Lonchura striata: one gene and its partners. The protein of the gene in region 2 purifies or fractionates together with the protein of the main gene of each other region. This does not show direct contact. Links are inferred from orthologs where the notes say so. Each region holds a gene or a part of one and is shown on either strand. Other genes may lie near its edges.

Region 1 (7,628 bases), on a different chromosome or scaffold from region 2:
CCAGCACATTCTACAGTGCACTGAACAAGTGACAACATAATTTGTTGCTTATTCCAAAAAAATCTGCTTAAATATGCCTTCGTCCAAGCAGGTATTACTTAAAACGCTCTCAAAAAGAAAAAAAAATCCGATTTTGCACAGACTGGGGAGTACACCAAAGAAATAAAATTATATAATGACATTTCTCTAAACACAGCAAACAGAGGAACATACATCTAGAGCTCAACAGAAAATAAACATGAAACAGACTTGTTTTAGCTTACAAAATGTAAACAATACTCTAGGAAAGGCACAATGAGTGACTAATTCAGGCAAAATGGAGTATCCTTCAATCACTGTCAATACTTGCCTAGGTCATTTTTTAAGCTGATTTCAGAAGGTGGCTCTGAATCCATGGGAACATTGATCAACGTGTAACACACGTTCTCTGCAGCAGTCATGGCTCTTGGTTACAGGAGTTCTCTCAAGGGAAGAATTATTTTCACACAAATGTCAGACAACCTAAAAACCAAGCAAACAAAGCCATCCCAAAGTTAAAAGATTTTATTAACAAACACAAATCATTATATTATTATAACTGACTTAATGGCTTGAAGGGATTGCTGTTTCTTGAGAAGCTACATGCAAAAGGCTTCTTGCTTTGCTACCACCCTGAAATATTCCTGTGAGCACCACAAAGATGAAGAGTATGACATTTTTCAGAGACAACAGAAAAAGAACAAAAACTTTCCAATATTTTGGGCAGTCAGGGATAACAGAAGTGTACAGGGCACCTGACTGAAGGCAAATGGATGCAGCTTCTCCCTTCTGAAGTCATACCCAGCTGTATACTCCCACTACCTTCCCTACACTCCTGTGTCCCTCCAGCTGAATCACCCAAGCTGCAAAATCAGCTGAAAAGCTTCACAGAAGAAAGAGAAAATGAAAAGATAAAGTTCTGAGCTCAATTAACAAACCAAATCAGTCTATGCAGGAAGCTTTGAAGATGAGCATGAGATCCAAGAGAGCAGAAACCAAGGATGGGAGAGAAGACAAAGTGAAGGAGACAGAAGCATTTTATCGCCAGGGATCATCAAATCAGCTCAACTCTACTGTCTCCACTAGACACTAATGAGGAAACCAAGTCTTTTTATGGTGAAAAAGGACAAGAAGGCTACAGATCTATCTAAGCTGCTGTGTGCCTGGCAGTCCAGGTAATGAAATCTGCTATTAAGCTCAATGCTCATTCTCAGATTTGTTTTTCCTTGTGTAATAGATATCTAGGATCAAATCAACCTTTTTGTTGTATCAATCCTCATTCTCATGTTTATTTATTCTTTATATAATAGACATCTAGGATCAAATCAACCTGCTTATTCTATTTCTTAAGTAATGAAAAATGCTCAAGCTTGAGCTTGCTTGGCTAATGCTAATGCTGTGATACTACACTGACAAAGCACAGCAAAGAAAACAGTCACTATTTATTACATGAGCAATTTTGTACTTTCTACAGAAATTGTGTCAAAAATAAATCAGCTTTTATTGACATTAATTGTCTGGAAGTCTGAGACTCCCTTTTCTCATCAAATGGGCACCCAGAGAACGTCACCCTGAACAGGGAGCAGGGAAGTTGTGCTGAGCTGGGCTGCTGTCCCTTTCTCCACAGAGGAAAACAACTCGCATCAATCAGTGCCACAACAACCACCCCAAAAAATACTAGCAATACAAACTTTTAAGGAAACAGTCCTCTTCCTGTTATGAATTCTGTATTTTAAGTCCTAGATCACTCAATCTTGTTGCTTACAAATATCTACATAAACCACCGATTCCTGAAATGACTGGATGTGGCACTTAGTGCCATGCTCCAGTTGACAAAGGTGGCGATCAAAGGTTGGATTTGATGATCTCAGAGGGCTTTCCCAACTGTTTTCTTGCCTCAGCAGCAGCTTTTTTGCTTACATTTCCCATGCTGTTACCCAGAATTCCTGCCTCAAAGCCCTGCAGCCAGCACCTTCAGCTACAAGAACAACTCACACAGACCATAAAGTAGATCCTTGTGAAAGCAGGGCAGGTATCTTTACTCAAAGACCTCAGCTGCAGAAATTTCCAAAATTACAGTGAAACATATCTCTGAAGCATGATAAATGAGTGTACTTTGGGCTCTGAAAAGCAGCAATGAAAAACAACTCTCTTAAAACACAGAGCTGGGAGATTTGGCAGGGAGAACCTGTTTTCCTCCTTGCAAGGCACAAAGACTTGAAATCAGAGAAATTGAGAGCCCACAGGGACACAGACGTAGGTGCTGCTTTAACTCTCCAGCGGTAACATCTCTGTCACCTGTGGGTAGTCACTGAATGAATGGAGTCCGAAGGGACTTTAAAGAGGAATTCATTCCAAACCCTCTGCCATCACCAGAGCAGGTTGCTCAGAGCCCCATCCAACCTGGCCTGGAACACTTGCAGGGATGGGGCACCCAAGGAAATCGAAAGTTGCAGAGTTTACAGAGGCCAGAAGACAAAAAGCCACGCCTGCTCGCCACCTACATCCCCGGGGAGCCTTAGGAACGGGGGCACCTAATGAACCAAACCTTGAGAATGCAGCGCTCCACTGAGGCACAATTATAGCACAGAGCGTTCCAAATGTTTACTAAAAAATCCGGTAAATTTCCAGCCGGCTGGGGGCTATTTCTCCCTTAATGTCCCCGCTCCTACTTCCCCTCCAAACCCGGGCATTTTAAGCTATGAGGCAAAACTTCCCGCAGCGCCGCGGCCGCCTGCCATTCCCCTGAGCACACGCCGAGCGCCGCAAGCCCTCCCGCAGCCGCCCCGGGGCCCTGCCGGGGGACACCGGGAAGCTGCCGCCGGGGCCCCGAGGCCTCGGGCCTCGCGGCGCCCAGCGGAGCAGCGGCGCCCACCCGTTCCCCCCGGCCCCGCGAGGCCGGCGCGGGCGGGCCGCGCGGCTCCGTACAGCGGCGGGGTCGGGCCGGTCCCGGCGGTGTCCCGGCGGTGTCCCGGCGGTGTCCCGGCGGTGTCCCGGCGCTCAGCCCGCGGCGCTGCCGCTCCGCCGATGGCTGACGTGGAGCCGCGCCCGCCCCCGCCACATCGCGCCTACGGCGGCCGCGCCGGGACACGCCTCCCGCCAGCGCGAACGGGGCGGCGCCGCCGCGCGGGAAGAGGGCGGGGCCGGGAGGGGCTGCGCGCGTGACGTCACGAGCCCGAGCGCGCGGCGGGGTTTTCCCGCGCGGGGGGATCCGGGAAAACAGCGGGAAAGAGCGGCCGAAACCGAGATTAAAAGCGCCGCATATATCGACAGAGATTTAGATATAGACAGACACAGATTTTGATATAGATTTTGATATTAGAGAATAGATAAAATAGATATATAGAGATGATATAGATGATAGATACATATAGAGATAGATATTGGACATAGTTATTAGCTATAGCTAATAGATATAGATGATAGAGAGATACAGATATTAGATAGCTATAGATCTAGCTATTAGATAGAGATGATAGATGGTGATAGATTATGATAGAGAGAAATAGAGAGAGATGATTGGAGAGAGATCAGAGAGAGAGACAGAGAGAGAGACAGAGAGAGAGACAGAGAGAGAGACAGAGAGACAGACAGAGAGACAGACAGAGAGACAGACAGAGAGACAGACAGAGAGACAGACAGAGAGACAGACAGAGAGACAGACAGAGAGACAGACAGAGAGACAGACAGAGAGACAGACAGAGAGACAGACAGAGAGAGAGAGACAGAAATATAGAGATGGAGATAGATATAGACAGATATAGATAGAAAGCAATTAGATAAATAACAACCAAAAAAAAGACAATAAAAGGGGGGCTCGGAAATGGTAAAGGGAAAAATAAATAAGAACAAATAAATAGGTGGGGAGAAAAAGTAATTGGGGGAAATCAGTAATGAACTGGAAAAATAGATTACGGGAAATGAATAAAGAAGAGGGTATATAAATAAATAAGGGAAAAGCAAAGGGAGGGAAAATGTGGGGAGTAAGCAAAGGGAGAGAAAAAAAACAATGTGGGGAGAAGCAAAGGGAGAGAAAAAAATGGGGGGTGGAAAAACAAGGGGGAAGCAAGGGGAAGGAAAAGAAGGAAAAAACCAATGGGAAAATAAATAAAGTGGAAAACATAAATAATGGTGAAAAAGTAATTAAGGGGAAAAATGAAAATGAATAAGAGAGGGAAAAATGAGTAAAAGGTGAAATAAGGGAGGAAAGAAATAGAAAAATAGAGAAAACGTAAAATAAAAATAAATTTAGGAAAAATAAAAGCAGCTTTTTCTAACACTTAAAAAACAAATATGCAGCCCTGGCACTGCTGTTCTGCTATTTTCATGACTGAACTATTTGTATGGATTCAAGACAGTATTGAAAGCCTGTTCAAAACAGCACCATGATTTATTGATTTTTGTTTAATTAAGAAATATTAATAAATTATTAATCTGAAGGTTCCAGGCTTTTTTTTTTTTTCAAGTACACTGAGCAGGCTATCAGGGCCTATGTGGGTCCACTCCAGAAGACTATTCCTTGCAATTTTCAATGCAATCACTGGGGAGAACAATTATATTAGTGATCCAACACAGAAAAACACGAACTCTTTCTTGCTTACAATACAGCATCCCGCCCAGGTCGCACCAATTCACTGGACTTCCCTGGCAGATGACCCTGAGGAACTCACTGTTAGTCCCAGACTTCGTGGCATTCAGCCCAAATCCAAAGAGTACCAGTTGCAGACCAAGCTGAAGAGACAAAGCCGTGGAGACCTCTAATGGGAACTTCTGGTGGGTTTTTGTTAACTCCAATTCAGCCCTCAGTGAGCTAAAAGCCCTGTTCTGCCCCAAGACTGGCTGATGGCTCTAAAAAAGACACTGGCAGTTCTAAAAAAGCTGGGGTTGAGCAAATTCCCCCAAAAAAACTGACCTTTTGACTGTCAGCTTCAAATGCCTTTTCAGTTGGGACAAGCTGACACAGGTAAACGCTGTTCCCTGTTTGCTCCATGACTATTTTATGGTTTCATAGGCATTTTAAGATCCCCTCAGTTCTACATGGTAAGCAAACACTCTAACAAATGGTCAAACACAGAATGGCAGCTTGGCATGACACTGCTATTTGTGAATAGCTGTTTTTTCAGACTGAAAAAAAACCCAAACTCACAGCAGAATCCGAGAAAGTGATTTATTTCCACTTGTCCTTATGAGTTAAAGACAGTATCTTTTCTTTATAAAACAGTATCGTGTACTATTTAGAAAATGATTACACCTTTCTTGTCCAAGTTACACCCAGATATGTCCTCCTGTCTATCTTTTAAGGATAGGTGGGTTGGTTGGTTTCTTTCTTTGCGAGCAATCCTCAGAATGTAGTATCATAAAACATATAGAGGTGAGGATAAAGTTACCAGCAAATGGATAAATGTTCCTGGATAATTATACATTAACAGAGGAACTCATCCACCAACTAGTGTTCCATCGGTTCCTCTGCCTTCTCCACAGTTTCTTCAACTGGCGGGACCAGCTTAGAGAGAGGGAAAAGAAATATTTTTAGGAAGGCAGAAGACAACACTTGACAAATCAGCTTTATCCCCATTGGAGCACCATGAGTGGTAAATGCAGCTTGTGTAAGCCAACAGCTCACAAATTACTGTTACCCACATTAAGCACAAGCAGGACATAGTTGGTAATTAGGAAACTACAGAGGCATCTTGCAAAGGGCATGAGAAACATATGCAACCACTTCTGCTGTAAAACTCGAAAGCTCCTACTTGATCAGAGATGAGGAAAGAAGATGACATTGGAACAGCCTGGCATAAATCCAGAATAAACTGATTTAATAAGCATCTGAATTATCAGATGATGCAGTGTTCATATAGTAACTACATATTTTAAAAATTACCTTCCTAATACTCTGGTACAGTAGTAGAGTTAAATTTATGTTAAACATAATAGATAATCTCTAACTATTGTCTTTCAACCAAGCCTATTTATTCATAACTGAACCACTCACCTTTCTCTGTGGTCTCTCCTCAAGACCTTCTAGGAATGGTGCTACATCATCATCATCATAGATGGTAAACTCCATGTCTTTACCCACAATTCCAATTGAAACATTCTGTCAAGCAAAGGGTCAGAAGCAGTGAGAAGCATTTTCCTGCAATTAACTTTGGCTTTACAGCTTTCATTTACAAAAGCTATCAAATTTCAAAATCTTCTAAGTAATGCCATTCAAGGGTTTAAATTTCTATCATTTTCTTTTTAATAACACACACAATTTCTCAAAACCACTTATTTTCAACTCATTTTGATTTTCAGTATTTTATGACCTCTAAAAAACATGGCAAGCTAAGAATAAAAAAACATGGAAAATGGTAGATAATTGGATATTCTAAGAATTTTCTTCTTCAACAGGTCCTCAATTCATTGTCAAAAGTTTGTGCAGCTTTGTGATGCTGGATGCTCTAGAAACTGCTGGTGCATAACCTCCACTCACCGCCCAGGTGAATTACTGACTGTGCTTACAATGCAAAGCTGGGATTCTACAGCCGCAGGTGATGCATCTTAACCACTGATCAAAGCTTAAGATAGAGTGAAGCCACCATGGAAACAGTGTTTTATTTAGTGAACGCATCGTTTTTGTGAAGAAACTTAAACCTGAGATGAACACAGAACAGTAGATAAACTGGCAACCTGAAATGAAGATATTATCTAGCAGTATTCAGCTTCAAAGTTTTGGTGCCAGCCATACTTCCAAGAATTTTGTCACAGTTACTTCAGAGTAACAATGGCAAAGGAAACCTAGTCCTTACCTTGGTGGTTAGATCCTGTTCAGCAGGAAGAGTCTCTCTCAGGGCTCGCAGTCCATGTTTAACTAGCTCATTTAGATTACCTTAAAATAGGATCAGAAAGACATTGACAACCTATATGGTATTACCTCTAGACACTCATTCCGCTTCTTCCTAATCCTAGCTGACAACTCCAAAATCAGCTTGACTCCCAGACTTCCTCTCCTTTCTGAGCAGAGCTGGTTATAAAAGTTTTCCTTGAGAAACCAGCCTTCCCCTATATTTGAGGCCAAGTGCACCCATTTTTGACCCCTGCCTTGATTTAAGCTTTTTCCCCCCAAGCAGGTATTAAATGGTTCCTCATCATCATCCTGTAAGAAAAATAAATTCACCACTTTAAATGCAGCACCTAAATACTTGCCCTGACATACTAACCCTGCTCTGCTATGGAAACATTTTTCCTGAGTTAAAAAGGGCAGAGGCTCTTAACGTTTTTCACAGCTTTTCTTTCCATTAGATGAAATAAACACCCACATGTTAAGACATGAAAATCTCAGCCATATTCTCTAAAATTTTGTCTTTATGCAGATTTACAGTTATGCCAAACTTGGTTCACAATATTTATCTTCATCTCACTCAATGCAAAAGAATGGAGTGGCAGCAGGAGATAAACTGCAGAATTGATGAATACCAGTGGGTAGAGAGAGCTCCACTACTCACAGTCAGTGAACTCAGTCATGTGCCTCTCCAAGTAAGTTCGTGCTGACTGTGAACGAGCACCAATGGACATTGCCTTGCAGTCAAAATAGTTTGCAGAGGGACAAGTCTGGAAGATGTGAGGGC
Region 2 (7,458 bases):
CCGGATTTTGGAGCTGGGGAGGGTCTGGATCCCAGATTTCAGAGTGTGGGAGGGCCTGGATCCCAGATTTCGGAGCCGGGGAGGGTCTGGATCCCAGATTTCAGAGTGTGGGAGGGTCTGGATCCCAGATTTCAGAGTGTGGGAGGGTCGGGATCTCAGATTTCTGAGCCGGGGAGGGTCGGGATCCCGGATTTCTGAGCCGGGGAGGGTCGGGATCCCGGATTTCTGAGTTAGGGGAGGGCTGGATCCCGGATTTCAGAGCGTGGGAGGGTCGGGATCCCGGATTTCAGAGCGTGGGAGGGTCGGGATCCCAGATTTCAGAGCCGGGGAGGGCTGGATCCCGGATTTCAGAGCGTGGGAGGGTCGGGATCTCAGATTTCAGAGCCGGGGAGGGCTGGATCCCGGATTTCTGAGCCAGGGAGGGCTGGATCCCGGATTTTGGAGCCGGGGAGGGTCTGGATCCCAGATTTCAGAGTGTGGGAGGGGCTGGATCCCGGATTTCAGAGCCGGGGAGGGTTGGATCCCGGATCCCGGCGTTCCCAGCGCAGGGCACCTGGAGAAGAGGCTCCCGTCGAGCAGGATCACGTAGGGCGGGTGGGGGCCCTCGGCCAGCGCCCACGGCAGGTCCTGCTCCCGCTCCACCACGTGGATCACGCCCGTGTCGCCGCTCAGCGAGGCTGCGGGACCGAGCAGCCCCTCAGCATTCCCGCCCCCATCCCTGGCTTCCCGCGGAATTCCGGGGCGGGGGCCTGAGGGAGAGCTGCGAGGTGGACGTTTGGGAATTCTGAGGGGAAAAGTCCCGCAGTTCCTCGGAAATGCAGGAGAGGGGCACGAGGGAGCGAGGGGAGAGCTGCAGTGTGGAAATGGGGGATTCGTGCCCTCAGAATTCCAGGGAATCCCGTGGAAAAATCCCCGGGTTTGCATGGAATACCAGGGCAGGGGTGTGAAGGAGCGAGGGGAAGAGCTGTGGGATCAGCCCCTCAGAACTCCACGGAATCCCACGGAAAAATCCATGGAAATCCATGGAAAACCAGAGAATTCCACAGAGAAATCGATGGAAAGCCAGGGAATCACACCAAAAAATCCATGGAAAAGCAGGGAATGCCAATGAAAAATCCCTGGAAATCCATGGGATACCAGGCAGAGGCATGAGGGAGTGAGGGAAGAGCAACGGGGTGGAAATGTGGGATTTGTCCCCTCAGAATTCCCAGGAAAAGCAGGGCAGGGAGCTGAGGGGCTCTGATGCTGGCAGGATCACCGGGAGGCTCCCTCACCCCATCCCAGCATTCCCAGATTCCCAGGAATTCCGATGGATCTCACACCGGCAGGATCACCAGGAGGGTCCCTCACAGCCCGCACCCCCCAGCATTCCCAAATTCCCAGGAATTCCCATGGATCTCACACCGGCAGGATCACCAGGAGGGTCCCTCACAGCCCTCACCCCATCCCAGCATTCCCAGATTCCCAAATTCCCGGGATTTCTCACACCGGCAGGATCACCAGGAGGGTCCCTCACAGCCCGCACCCCCCCAGCATTCCCAAATTCCCAGGAATTCCCATGGATCTCACACCGGCAGGATCACCAGGAGGGTCCCTCACAGCCCTCACCCCATCCCAGCATTCCCAGATTCCCAAATTCCCGGGATTTCTCACACTGGCAGGATCACCAGGAGGGTCCCTCACAGCCCTCACCCCATCCCAGCATTCCCAGATTCCCAAATTCCCAGGAATTCCCCACACCAGCAGGATCACCAGGAGGGTCCCTCACAGCCCTCACCCCCCCAGCATTCCCAGATTCCCAAATTCCCGGGATTTCTCACACTGGCAGGATCACCAGGAGGGTCCCTCACAGCCCTCACCCCCCCAGCATTCCCAGATTCCCAAATTCCCGGGATTTCTCACACCGGCAGGATCACCAGGAGGGTCCCTCACAGCCCTCACCCCATCCCAGCATTCCCAGATTCCCAAATTCCCGGGATTTCTCACACCGGCAGGATCACCAGGAGGGTCCCTCACAGCCCGCACCCCCCCAGCATTCCCAGATTCCCAAATTCCCGGGATTTCTCACACCGGCAGGATCACCAGGAGGGTCCCTCACAGCCCTCACCCCATCCCAGCATTCCCAGATTCCCAAATTCCCGGGATTTCTCACACCGGCAGGATCACCAGGAGGGTCCCTCACAGCCCGCACCCCCCAGCATTCCCAGATTCCCAGGAATTCCCATGGATCTCACACCGGCAGGATCACCAGGAGGGTCCCTCACAGCCCTCACCCCATCCCAGCATTCCCAGATTCCCAAATTCCCGGGATTTCTCACACCGGCAGGATCACCAGGAGGGTCCCTCACAGCCCGCACCCCCCAGCATTCCCAGATTCCCAAATTCCCGGGATTTCTCACACCGGCAGGATCACCAGGAGGGTCCCTCACAGCCCGCACCCCCCCAGCATTCCCAGATTCCCAAATTCCCGGGATTTCTCACACCGGCAGGATCACCAGGAGGGTCCCTCACAGCCCTCACCCCATCCCAGCATTCCCAGATTCCCAAATTCCCGGGATTTCTCACACCGGCAGGATCACCAGGAGGGTCCCTCACAGCCCTCACCCCATCCCAGCATTCCCAGATTCCCAAATTCCCGGGAATTCTCACACTGGCAGCCGATCTGGTGCGTGGCGTTGAGCAGGCGCACGCAGGGCGCCGTGTGGTTCAGCGGGATGTAGATCTTGCGGTGCACCGAGTTCCCACGGACCGGGGCTGAAACACCGGGAATGGGAACGGGAAACACCGGGAATGGGAACGGGAAACACCGGGAATGGGAACGGGAAACACCGGGAATGGGAACAGGAAACACCGGGAATGGGAACGGGAAACACTGGGAATGGGAACTGGGAATGGGGATTAAGAATGGGAATGGGGACTGGAAATGGGGACTGGGAACTGGGAATGGGAACCGGGAATGGGAACGGGAAACACCGGTAATGGGAACTGGGAATGGGGATTAGGAATGGGAATGGGGACTGGGAATGGGAACCGGGAATGGGAACGGGAAACACCGGGAATGGGAACTGGTTAATGGGGACTGGGAATGGGAAACACCGGGAATGGGAACGGGAAACATCGGGAATGGGAACTGGGAATGGGGATTAAGAATGGGAATGGGGACCGGGAATGGGAACGGGAAACACCGGGAATGGGAACTGGGAATGGGGACTGGGAACTGGGAATGGGAACTGGGAATGGGGACTGGGAACTGGGAATGGGAACGGGAAACACCGGGAATGGGAACGGGAAACACCGGGAATGGGAACTGGGAATGGGGATTAGGAATGGGAATGGGGACTGGGAATGGGAACCGGGAATGGGAACGGGAAACACCGGGAATGGGAACGGGAAACACCGGGAATGGGAACCGGGAATGGGAACGGGAAACACCGGGAATGGGAACGGGAAACACCGGGAATGGGAACGGGAAACACCGGGAATGGGAACGGGAAACACCGGGAATGGGAACTGGGAATGGGGACTGGGAACTGGGAATGGGAACCGGGAATGGGAACGGGAAACACCGGGAATGGGAACTGGGAATGGGGACTGGGAATGGGAACCGGGAATGGGAACGGGAAACACCGGGAATGGGAACGGGAAACACCGGGAATGGGAACGGGAAACACCGGGAATGGGAATGGGGATTAGGAATGGGAATGGGGACTGGGAATGGGGACCGGGAATGGGAACGGGAAACACTGGGAATGGGGATTAGGAATGGGAATGGGGACTGGGAACTGGGAATGGGGACTGGGAATGGGAACGGGAAACACCGGGAATGGGAACGGGAAACACCGGGAATGGGAACTGGGAATGGGAACGGGAAACACCGGGAATGGGGACTGGGAACTGGGAATGGGAACTGGGAATGGGGACCGGGAATGGGAACGGGAAACACCGGGAATGGGAACTGGGAATGGGGATTAGGAATGGGAATTAGGAATGGGAATGGGGACTGGGAATGGGGACTGGGAATGGGAACCGGGAATGGGAACAGGAACAGGAACCGAACGGGAACGGGGATCGGGAACGGGAATGGGGATTAGGAATGCGAATGGGGACTGGGAACCGGGAATGGGAACGGGAATGGGAACAGGAACAGGAACCGAACGGGAACGGGGATCGGGAACGGGAACGGGGACCGGGAATCTGCCGGTGCACCCCCGAACCGCCCGCTCGGGGCTCACCCGCCGCCAGCGCGGCCACGAGCAGCGCGCGGAGCACGCCCAGGGAATCCCGGCCCCTTCCCGGGGAATCCCGGCCCCTTCCCGGCCAGCCCCGGCCCGGCCCCGCCGCCATCGCCGCCCGCGGGCGCTTCACTTCCGCTTCACTTCCGCGTTGCCGGCGGAAGCGGCGGGGCGGAAGCGGCGGGGCGGAAGCGGTGCCCGTTTCCGGGGCGGCCCCGCGGTGCCGACGTGGAGGTTCCGGGCTGCGGCCGGGCCGGGCTGGCGCCATGCTGACCAAGTTCGAGACCAAATCGGCGCGGGTGAAAGGTGGGAAACGGGAAAGGCCGGGAGAAGCCGGGACAAACCGGGAGAAGCCGGGAGAAACCGGGAGAAACCGGGAGAAGCCGGGATAGAGCGGGACAAACAGCGGAAAACCGGGACGGACCGGGATTCGGGGGGTGGCGGAGGCGGGATCCCGGGGGGAAGATGGAGCCCGCTCCTAACGGAGAGTCCTGAGCGGGTCCGGGAAAGGATCCCGGGAGTGGATCCCGGGAGTGGGATCCTGGGAATGAGGATGGAGAATCCCGGGAATGGGATCCCGGGAATGGGAATGGGATCCCGGGAATGGGATCCCGGGAATGGGAATGGGGATGGGATCCCGGGAATGGGATCCCGGGAGTGGATCCCGGGAATGGGGTCCTGGGAATGGGGATGGGATCCTGGGAATGGGATCCTGGGAATGAGGATGGAGAATCCCGGGAATGGGATCCCGGGAATGGGAATGGGATCCCGGGAATGGGATCCCGGGAATGGGAATGGGATCCCGGGAATGGGATCCCGGGAATTGGGGATGGGGTCCCGGGAATTGGGGATGGGATCCCGGGAATGGGGATGGGATCCCGGGAATGGGATCCCGGGAATTGGGGATGGAGAATCCCGGGAATGGGGATGGGGTCCCGGGAATGGGGATGGGATCCCGGGAATGGGATCCCGGGAATGGGATCCCGGGAATGGGGATGGGATCCCGGGAATTGGGGATGGGGTCCCGGGAATTGGGGATGGGGTCCCGGGAATTGGGGATGGGATCCTGGGAATGGGATCCCGGGAATGGGGATGGGATCCCGGGAATTGGGGATGGGGTCCCGGGAATGGGGATGGGATTCTGGGGATGGGATCCCGGGAATTGGAGAGTGATCCCGGGAATGGGGATGGGGTCCCGGGAATTGGAGAGTGATCCCGGGAATGGGATCCCGGGAATTGGGGATGGGATCCCGGGAATTGGGGATGGGGTCCCGGGAATTGGGATGGGATCCCGGGAATTGGGGATGGGATCCCGGGAATTGGGGATGGGATCCCGGGAATTGGGGATGGGGTCCCGGGAATTGGGGTTTGATCCAGCAGGGATTTGGGATCTGATCCAAAGGGGGATTTGGGATCTGATCCAAAGGGGGATTTGGGATCTGATCCCAGGGAATTGGAACAGCCTCGAGCTGTGCCAGGGTGGGAAATTTGGGATGATTTTTCCATGGGAAAAGGGTTGGGAAGCGCCAGAAGGGGCTCAGGGAGGGCTGGATCCCATCCCTGGAGGGAATTCCCGGGATTTGTGTGCTGGAATTCCCGGGATTTGTGTGCTGGAATTCCCAGGATTTGTGTGACAGAATTCCCAGGATTTGTGTGCAGTTCTCAGGGTTTTCCTTCCCCTTTCCCAAGTTTTCCTCTCTCCTTTCCGGGGGGTTTCCCGATCCTTTTCCCTGCCCTTTCCCAGGTTTTTTTCCCCCCCTTTTCCCAGGTTTTTCCCCACCCTTTCCCAGTTTTTCCCAGTTTTCCCCCACGATTTCCCCATGATTTCCCCCAGGATTTTCCCAGGATTTCTCCAGGATTTTCCTGTTTTTTTCCTTGCACTTCCCCACTTGTTTTCCCCAGGATTTTCACAGGCTATTCCCAGTTTTTCTTCAGTTTTTCCCTCATTTCCCCCCAGTTTTTCCCCCATTTTCTCCCAGTTTTTTCCCCATTTCCCCCCAGTTTTTTCCCAGTTTTTTTCCCAGTTTTTCCCCCAGTTTTTTCCCCGTTTCCCCCCAGTTTTTTCCCCATTTTCCTCCCAGTTTTCCCCCCAGTTTTTCCCCCATTTTCCCCCAGTTTTTCCCCCATTTCCCCCCAGTTTTTTCCCAGTTTTTCCCCCATTTTCCCCCCAGTTTTTCCCCCATTTCCCCCCAGTTTTTCCCCCAGTTTTTTCCCAGTTTTTCCCCCAGTTTTTTCCCAGTTTTTCCCCCAGTTTTTCTCCCATTTCCCCCCATTTTTTTCCCAGTTTTTCCCCCATTTCCCCCCAGTTTTTCCCCCATTTCCCCCCAGTTTTTTCCCAGTTTTTCCCCCAGTTTTTCCCCATTTCCCCCCAGTTTTTTCCCAGTTTTTCCCCCAGTTTTTCCCCCGTTTCCCCCCAGTTTTTCCCCCATTTCCCCCCAGTTTTTTCCCAGTTTTTCCCCCAGTTTTTCCCCCGTTTCCCCCCAGTTTTTCCCCCATTTTCCCCCAGTTTTTCCCCCTTTCCCCCCACTTTTTCCCAGTGCTTTTTCCCCGGTTTTCCCGGTTTTCCCATGCTTCCCGTGCTTCCCAGGGCTGTCGTTCCACCCGAAGCGCCCATGGGTGCTGAGCAGCCTCCACAACGGCGTCATCCAGCTCTGGGACTACCGCGTGGGCACCCTGCTCGACAAGTTCGACGAGCACGACGGTGGGAGACGGGAATTCCGGAATTCCGGGAATTCCGGGGGGAATGGGAATGCCGGGGGGAAAATGGGGGGAAAAACGGCGAAAATCTGGGGGGGAAATGGGAATTCTGGGGGGAAAAACAGCGAAAATCTGGGGAAAACCAGGAAAGATCTGGGGGAAATCGGGAATTCTGGGGGGAATGGGAATTCCGGGGGGAAAACACGGGGAAAATGGGGGGAAATTGGGAATTCTGGGGGGAATGGGAATTCTGGGGGGAAAACACGGGGAAAATGGGGGGAAAACCAGGAAAGATCTGGGGGAAAATGGGGAAAGTTGGGAATTCTGGGGGGAATGGGAATTCCGGGGGGAAAACATGGGGAAAATCTGGGGAAAACCAGGAAAGATCTGGGGGAAATTGGGAATTCTGGGGGGAATGGGAATTCTGGGGGAAAAACACGGGGAAAATGGGGGGAAAAATGGTGAAAATCTGGGGAAAACCAGGAAAGATCTGGGGGAAAATGGGGAAATTGGGAATTCTGAGGGGGAA
Region 3 (7,816 bases), on a different chromosome or scaffold from region 2:
TGGGACCTGAAGGCCTAAATAAAATGTGTAATAATCTCCAAGTCAGCTGACAGCAATGGGCTCCCCCTTTCCAGTTATCTTCAAATGCTGTAACTTGACCATCCCAACACCACAGCGCTCAAATCAGCAGCCTTTTTCGGGGAGAACATGCATGGAACTGATCGTTTTATGTGTAGGGTGCCAAGTTATAATTTAGATTCAGATATAGCTCCATGTATTACCGGGAGCTGGGACCTCTTTTTCTCACACAAAGTGAAAGCCCATTGTTCACCAAAGAATCCAAAGAGACTATGAGGTACTACTGTGGTATGCGGCACAAATGCTCCTCAATACTTACACAGATGAGGAACTCACGTTAGACCCTCCAGGCACATGGTTTGAGCCAACACTGACTCCAACATCTGCCACCTGCTGTCCCCCCTACCTGGCTGGAGCTGGTGCCACTTTGGGCTTCTCGGTCTCAATGATGGTCTCTGTGATCATTGCTGTCATGCCCCCCGACACGGCCGAGCTGCCAAAGCCCCCGAACCCTGGTGCCTTCTTGCCGTGTCTCTCTGCATCCCTCCTGGCCTGCTGCAGCTCCTTTGCTTTACGGCGCATCTCAGCTTTTGCTTCACGTTCCTGTGTCTGAAGGAAAAGAGAAGAGGCTGATGGAGCTTTGCAACCTGAGCAGGAACTAAGTGCAGTTGCCCAAAACCCCGGTCAAGAAAAAAGCATTTAGCCCTCACAAAAGCTAAATGATTGCACAACCCCACCAAGTGGAAGAACACCTCTGTACAGCAAAAGTGGTGTTTCTCAGACAGGGCACCTTATGTCAGGACTGTAGGTGTCCCTGCTCACCTCTCTGACTGCCCGAAACACCTTTTCCTCGTGTGAGTCCATCTCAGTGAAGGTCCGAATTTGTGCCAGATTTACATTCTCACGGTAGCCCAGGGCAACAATTTCATCAAAGGCAAAGATTAGGTCAAAGCAGTGTTCTGAGATCTCATTTTCTTCCAGAGCTCGACAATATTCAGGGATCTAGAAGGAGAGAACATTTTAAAGGAGTACCCACAAACAGTACTGTGTAGACACTTTTCTTTCTACCATCCCAGGGTCACAGCTGTGCCAGACCCAAGCCCAGCACAACTTTATACTGCTCATTGTACCATTACATTGTCAACAAACAAGACGAAGTTGTGCCACTGTTAGTTTTTCTAAATCAAAATCCACATATAACCGCTCAGCTTCCTCATAACACTAACTCAAAAGAACCCAACTGCATGCTGGGGCCAGTGAATTCCCTGAAAATCCTTTGGCTATGTGAAGACACAAACTTGCTGCTTCAGGATCCCTGCACAGCAGCGCTGCACTTGTAACACTGTACAAAGAACATTTAATGCTAAATTACAGTCAGCCCTTTGGTCTCATCAAGTGAGGTACAACTGATGATTATTTTTTTTAATGTGGAGTTCAAAAGTACCACCAAAATTTCAGAGCTTTCTGTCCAGTCAGGAAGGGAAGCTCTGGAGCACAGACCTACCAAGTGGAGGCACACAGTGGTCCTGCACCAGTTCAGAAATAGATCCCTCACAACAGAATTGCTCTGGGCTACCTCATGGAGTGACGAGTCCTTACCACTCTAGAAAAGAGTCTGAGTGTTTCCAGGTCTTCCAGGATGTTGCTGTTTTTGGTGGTAATCAGCACCATGTAGAGCTTCTCCATGGGCTGGTACACATATCGCACACTTTCTGTCTCCACAAATGTGTGCTGCTTCCCTGTGTTCATCAGCTTTGGGAATGCCGCCAGCAGCCCCTCGATGCGGGTGCGAGTCATCTCCACGAACTGCCGGGACACGATGGCCTTCCCTGCCTTCGTGCACACAGCGGCTGCCAACAGCACCTGGGGGAGACAGCGTGTCAGCACGGAAAGCATCTCCTCCCACCACACTCCACCTGCACACCCCTCCTTAAACAAGACCCTAACTCTTTCTCTGTGACCAGGGAATGAACTATGGCAAGAGCAGAGACATCTCTGCTTTTGCTTTCTCTCTCCATTTCACGTTCTGTCCCAACACAATCCTGACAGCTCTCCCTGCTTCTGTCAGGTCTGATCGTTCCCAATTTCACACGAACAGAGGTGTACAACCCCTGGGAGCGTTATGGGAGGCTCTGGGTTATCCATGAGTTTCCCACCAGGCTGTCCCAGCTTACAGCTCGGCACAGGAGCGCTGTGAAATGTAACATCTCTCTCCAGCGCCGCACGCTCAGCACCAGGCGAGCGAAGCCTTGCCACGACTCCCGGGCATCTCGCAGGCGTTATCACACCCACAGGGCAGCAAGGCACTCACCAGCGCACTTTCTCTAGCTCCCAGTCTGCCCAAACTTCCTCCCTGTATTTCTCTCTCACAGATGTTAATTCCTTTTGTCAGGATAATTCTGTTCGGCGCTTCGAACCTTTTAAATCCGCAACTGCTGTTCCTGACAGAAAGTATCCGAAACCCTCAAACGGGGCAGCGCTGACCCCTGCCGCACCTCGGGCACAGTTTAGCTCTGACGGAGCTGTGTGCGGTCGGTGAAACCCAAACACCGCCGCGATGGACAGACGGAGCCGGACCGGCCCCGAGACACGGGGTCCCACCAGCCCGCTTACACCCGAACGCAACTAGAGCGGGCAGGAAGCCGTGCTAAGGAGGCACCGTGGCTCCGGGTCACCAGAGAAAAAGCGCCGCGTCCGCGCCGCGTCCCCGCCGCCCCCGGGGCCCGGCCCGACGCGGGGCGGCGGCGCCGCGCTCCGTCCCAGCAGGCCGCGGGTCCAGCGCCGGCCCGCACACAGGCCAGGCGGCCGGGGCGAGCCCGAGGGCTGCCCCGGGGGCTGTGCCGAGTCCTGCGCTGCTCGCGGCGGACAGTCCTGCCCTTACCATAGCAGCGGCGGCGGCGGCGGGATCGGCGCTGGGCGCTCCGCTCCCTCCGGCTCCCGGGCGGCCCCGCAAGATGGCGGCGCCGCGCCACGTCCGCACCCGGAAGTGCCGTCACGGCGGGCGGGGCGGCCCCTCCCCGCCGCCAGGGGGCGCGCCCGGGCCGGGCCGCGCGGCGGGGCGGGGTCGCCATGGCGACGGCGGCGGCGGCGCGGCGGGACGCGCGGCGGGCCGAGGTGGGACAGGGGTGCGGGGGGACACACCGGGACACGGCGGGACACGGCGGGACACACCGGGACACGGGGTGCGGGGGGACACACCGGGACACGGCGGGACACGGCGGGACACACCGGGACACGGCGGGACACGGCGGGACACACCGGGACACGGGGTGCGGGAGGACACACCGGGACACGGGGATACGGAGGGACACGGCGGGACACGGGGTGCGGGGGGACACACCGGGACACAGCGGGACACACCGGGACACGGCGGGACACACCGGGACACGGGGTGCGGGGGGACACACCGGGACACGGGGTGCGGGGGGACACACCGGGACACGGGGATACGGAGGGACACACCGGGACACGGGGTGCGGGGGACACACCGGGACACGGGGTGCGGAGGGACACACCGAGACACACCGGGACACGGCGGGACACGGGGTGCGGTGGGAATCAACGGGACACGGCGTGCGGCGGGACACACCGGGACACACGCGTGGCCGGGCGCGGCCGCCCCGCCGCTCCCCGCCGCTGACTGTGCCTCCCGGCGCAGCCTCGCCCGGTGGAGAACCAGCCGTACGACGAGAGCCTGGAGCTGCCCGAGGCCGAGCCCGGGGCCCGCTCGCCGCGGGACTCCCGCGGGCCCGCGGGGTCCGGCGGAGCGGCCGAGCGCAGGAGCGGCGGGGGCAAGGTACGAGCGCAGCGGGCGGGGGCGGCCCGGTGAGATCCCGGTGAGATCCCGGTGAGAGCCCGGTGAGATCCCGGTGAGAGCCCAGTGAGATCCCGGTGAGATCCCGGTGAGATCCCGGTGAGGTCCTGGTGAGAGCCCGGTAAGATCCCAGTGAGATCCCGGTGAGATCCCGGTGAGGTCCCGGTGAGATCCCGGTGAGATCCCGGTGAGAGCCCGGTGAGAGCCCGGTGAGGTCCCGGTGAGAGCCCGGTGAGATCCCGGTGAGAGCCCGGTGAGGTCCCGGTGAGAGCCCGGTGAGAGCCCGGTGAGGTCCCGGTGAGAGCCCGGTGAGATCCCGGTGAGAGCCCGGTGAGGTCCCGGTGAGATCCCGGTGAGATCCCGGTGAGAGCCCGGTGAGATCCCGGTGAGAGCCCGGTGAGATCCCGGTGAGAGCCCGGTGAGAGCCCGGTGAGGTCCCGGTGAGAGCCCGGTGAGATCCCGGTGAGAGCCCGGTGAGGTCCCGGTGAGAGCCCGGTGAGATCCCGGTGAGATCCCGGTGAGGTCCCGGTGAGAGCCCGGTGAGATCCCGGTGAGGTCCCGGTGAGATCCCAGTGAGATCCCGGTGAGGTCCTGGTAAGAGCCCGGTGAGATCCCCTGAGACCCGGCTGTCGCCCAGGAGGACGCAGCGGCGCACCTTCCCGGCCCAGCCGCCTCCAGCGAGGATGAGGACGAGGACGATGAGGACTCGGAGGAAGATTCCTCGGAGAGCGACTCGGAGGAGGACTCGGAGGAGCACGGGGCCGCGCTGGAGGGGTGAGCGCTGCTCCTGACCAGAGGCTGCCGGGTGCCTCTCGGGCCCTGACAGCTCCGCCGGTTTTCCCGAGTCCCGCGAGGGTGAGCAGAGTCGTGGGCACTGGGACAGGCAGCTCCTGCCTCCTCGTCCCCCGTGCTGCAGGGTGGTGGTTCCTCCAGCTGGTGAACCAGTCCCGGGCTTGTTTGCTGTGCCCAGGAGAGGCACAGCTGGAGTGATCCAAGGTGTAAGCCAGGCTGGGCTGGCAGGAGAAGTCCAGAAAAGGGAAGGACCATCTCCAACATGTCACTCAGATCCTCATAATTCTTCTCCTTTTCCACTGTTTTCAGCTTCAAAGCTATTGCTGACCCCCTAATTGCTGTCCTATTGCTGCCCTTGTGCAGAGCACTTAGCCCCCTTTTGACAGCCCTCTGTGGGACTGTGATCTCAGACGTCCATTGCTCAGGTGCTTTTCTTGGCCAGCAGATCCAAAGCAAAATGGAGCCCAATAATGCTTTCCCTGTGCAAGAAGTGTTTTCCAGAGATGACTTACTGCCTGGTGCTTCAGCTTCCCACATGTATCTGCCCCAGCTGGGTCCTGATTTCTGTTGTACAGAACTTGCCACATGCTCATCTTCTCCCTCTACTCTCTTCCTTCTTTTAGTGACTTCAATCCAGCAGATTTTGACTACCTGCAAGTGTCTTCTGAAATCAAAGATCTCTTTGAATACATCAAGAGGTGAGAGGAAGGGTTTTAGCCTGCTCTTGGCTCTTCTTTGTGTCAATGATTGCAGTACAGTTTCTAGTCACCTATGCTGTGATGGTGTTTTCTTCCAGGTACACTCCCAAAACAATAGAGATTGAGCACAAGCTGCAGCCTTTTATTCCAGACTTTATTCCTGCTGTTGGAGACATTGATGCATTCTTAAAGGTATGGTTTCTTCAGGTTCCTCTCTCCATCCTGCCCCACAAACCAAAACAGAACTCAGGCTCAGAACAAGTAGGCAGCCAGGCCATGTAGCCTGGGGTCTGGTCTGTCGATGGGCAGAGACCTGATAAACTGCACTGGTGGTTTGGTCACCTCTCAAACAGCACTTGGGTAACTTGGGGGAAAGCCTGGCTTCTCCTCCTTTAGCACCGTGTGCTTTTCAGGCAGCACTGTACTTAGAATGCACATCTGAGAGAAGGCTCTGTACAAACCTGCCCTGGACTCCACAGAGAACAGGGCTCTGCTTTCCTGCAGGTTCCTCGTCCTGATGGCAAACCTGACAACCTTGGCCTGCTGGTCCTGGATGAGCCCTCAACCAAGCAGTCAGATCCCACTGTGCTCTCCCTTTGGCTGACAGAGAACTCCAAGCAGCACAACATCACAGTGAGTCAGGAGGGGGAGGTCACACTTGCTGCACATTTCCTGGAGTAAAACCGTGGCATTTTACTCTTACAACTGAGAAGTTGACTTTAAAGGCAGCAACCAGACCTTTTGCTGTAATCCATAGTTTTAAACTGCAGTGGATCTGAGCCTTGATCAAGTCAAGTCTTGATATGAACTCTGGGTCTGTTCACTTCAGGTGATGCTTTATTTCCTTTTGGCTGTTCATACCCAGTTTTAGTTGGCATTTTGGCTGCAGAAATTCATTGGTAAAGTGCAGCTGGGAAAGAGAGTAGGCCTGGTTCACCAGAAGTGAATGCAGCTTTTCCGAAAAGCCCCAAAACACCATGAAACACTTCCAGGTTTATATTTGTGTTTTTAGCAGCAAATAAAAGTGAAGAGTTTGGAGAATGCAGAAAAGAACCCTAAAGCCATTGAGAGCTGGATTGAAAGTATTAGTGAACTGCGTCGCTGCAAACCTCCTGCCACAGTCCATTACTCCAGGTGAGCCCTGATGTTGGCAGTGGAAGGTTGTGTTTGATCCTGAAGTTGATGTTCTTCTCTTCCCTGGCAGGCCAATGCCTGACATCGAGACCCTGATGCAGGAATGGTCACCAGAATTCGAGGAGCTCCTGGGAAAGGTAGATTGTCTGGGTGACCAGTAGTTAGCTCAGTGCTTGGTCTTAGAAACCCATCCCCCATGAAAGCTGGATGCCTGCCCCATCCCACAGCCCAGTCCTCTTGGGCTTGTTCCTCCTCACAACTGCGCCCTAGGCAGAAGTTGGGGGGCAGCCCAACGCTGGAGTTCCCAGCTGCTGCCCCAGTGGTCTCTGCATGCTCCCAGGCTCCTGCAGTCCGGGAGCAGATCTGACAGATCCGTCTGTTGCAGGTGGGTCTTCCGAGCGCAGAGATGAGCTGTGACCTTGCTGAGTACATCGACATGATCTGCGGTGAGCTGGGGAGGCTGTGCTGCTCACACCGTGTGATGCTGGCCTGGCACTCTCCCTGAAAGCCAGAGAGTTTTAGCTGCAGGCTCAGCCCCAAGCAGTCAGGATTATTCCTGCTGCTGCAGTGGGAGGTGGGCTCTTGTGCTACAGGGGTCTGCAGTCTTTGGTGCGTGGAGCCCCAGGTGATGGTGGGCAGTGGAGAATTCAGCCCCTCCTGACAATGCTCTGTGTGGGGCAGTGCAGACCAGGTGCCCTCACACGCTTCTGATCTCACCTGCAGCCATTCTGGACATCCCCGTGTACAAGAGCCGGATCCACCCTCTGCATGTCCTCTTCTCCCTCTTCTTGGAGTTCAAGAACTCGCAGGTATGCAGCTCCACCCAGGTGCTGCTCACCCAGCTAGCAGCACTGTGCAGCTGGTCCCTTCACATTTGGCTTTGTGCCGGCAATGGGAGTGTGCACAGGACTGGTGGGCCCCAGAGGACATGTTCTCAGCTGCTCCTCTCCCTGATGCCTCTGCCTGACACAGGGAGCTGGGCTGTGCTCTGGGCTGAGGTGCCGTGTTGTTCAACAGGCCAACACAAGCCAGAATGCATCTCCCTGGGCTGGCTGCTGGGCATACAACTCATGCAGAGCCCATGTGGCCGTCCCATTCAGATGTATGTGTGTGCTCTGAGCAGTGGGAGTCAAATCTTGCATGAGCATGTTCTTTTCCCTGCAGCACTTCAAGCCCCTGGCTGATGGGCAGAAGGGCAGGAGCCCACCATCCAACCCACCCTCACAAGCAACGGAGGCAGAGGTGTTGAGCTTTAATTGATCCTTCACGTTAAAGCCTCATCTCCTGGATCACTGTCTGACTGGACACTGAGGTGTACCCAGAGCAGCTGGGGAGATATCACACAGCAAATCAGAAGCCT

What was found.
Region 1: the proteins of COPA (region 2) and COPB1 fractionate together in Homo sapiens (co-fractionation; 6 studies listed by BioGRID and IntAct, with this or other methods). This does not show direct contact. The link is inferred for Lonchura striata from reciprocal best matches to the Homo sapiens genes COPA and COPB1.
Region 3: the proteins of COPA (region 2) and ARCN1 fractionate together in Homo sapiens (co-fractionation; 4 studies listed by BioGRID and IntAct, with this or other methods). This does not show direct contact. The link is inferred for Lonchura striata from reciprocal best matches to the Homo sapiens genes COPA and ARCN1.

Annotation. Positions count from the first base shown.
Region 1 is NC_134608.1:50,406,769-50,414,396, reverse strand, and holds the start of COPB1 (coatomer subunit beta), read right to left. Parts: upstream 3,079-7,628; 5' UTR 2,894-3,078; intron 2,697-2,893; exon of another isoform or gene 2,567-2,696; intron 502-2,566; 5' UTR 441-501; coding exon 350-440; intron 1-349. Other genes in the region: PSMA1 (proteasome subunit alpha type-1), read right to left, coding at 5,465-5,521, 6,011-6,115, 6,810-6,889, 7,506-7,628. UniProt on the Homo sapiens protein: The coatomer is a cytosolic protein complex that binds to dilysine motifs and reversibly associates with Golgi non-clathrin-coated vesicles, which further mediate biosynthetic protein transport from the ER, via the Golgi up to the trans Golgi network.
Region 2 is NC_134635.1:3,583,200-3,590,657, reverse strand, and holds the start of COPA (coatomer subunit alpha), read left to right. Parts: upstream 1-4,421; 5' UTR 4,422-4,498; coding exon 4,499-4,538; intron 4,539-6,819; coding exon 6,820-6,933; intron 6,934-7,458. Other genes in the region: NCSTN (nicastrin), read right to left, coding at 554-677, 2,650-2,754, 4,233-4,344. UniProt on the Homo sapiens protein: The coatomer is a cytosolic protein complex that binds to dilysine motifs and reversibly associates with Golgi non-clathrin-coated vesicles, which further mediate biosynthetic protein transport from the ER, via the Golgi up to the trans Golgi network.
Region 3 is NC_134625.1:10,937,673-10,945,488, reverse strand, and holds the start of ARCN1 (coatomer subunit delta), read right to left. Parts: upstream 3,005-7,816; 5' UTR 2,903-3,004; coding exon 2,900-2,902; intron 1,882-2,899; coding exon 1,618-1,881; intron 1,021-1,617; coding exon 841-1,020; intron 628-840; coding exon 425-627; intron 15-424; coding exon 1-14. Other genes in the region: IFT46 (intraflagellar transport protein 46 homolog), read left to right, coding at 3,088-3,132, 3,677-3,814, 4,470-4,606, 5,248-5,322, 5,421-5,514, 5,827-5,955, 6,335-6,456, 6,527-6,593 and 3 more. UniProt on the Homo sapiens protein: Component of the coatomer, a cytosolic protein complex that binds to dilysine motifs and reversibly associates with Golgi non-clathrin-coated vesicles, which further mediate biosynthetic protein transport from the ER, via the Golgi up to the trans Golgi network.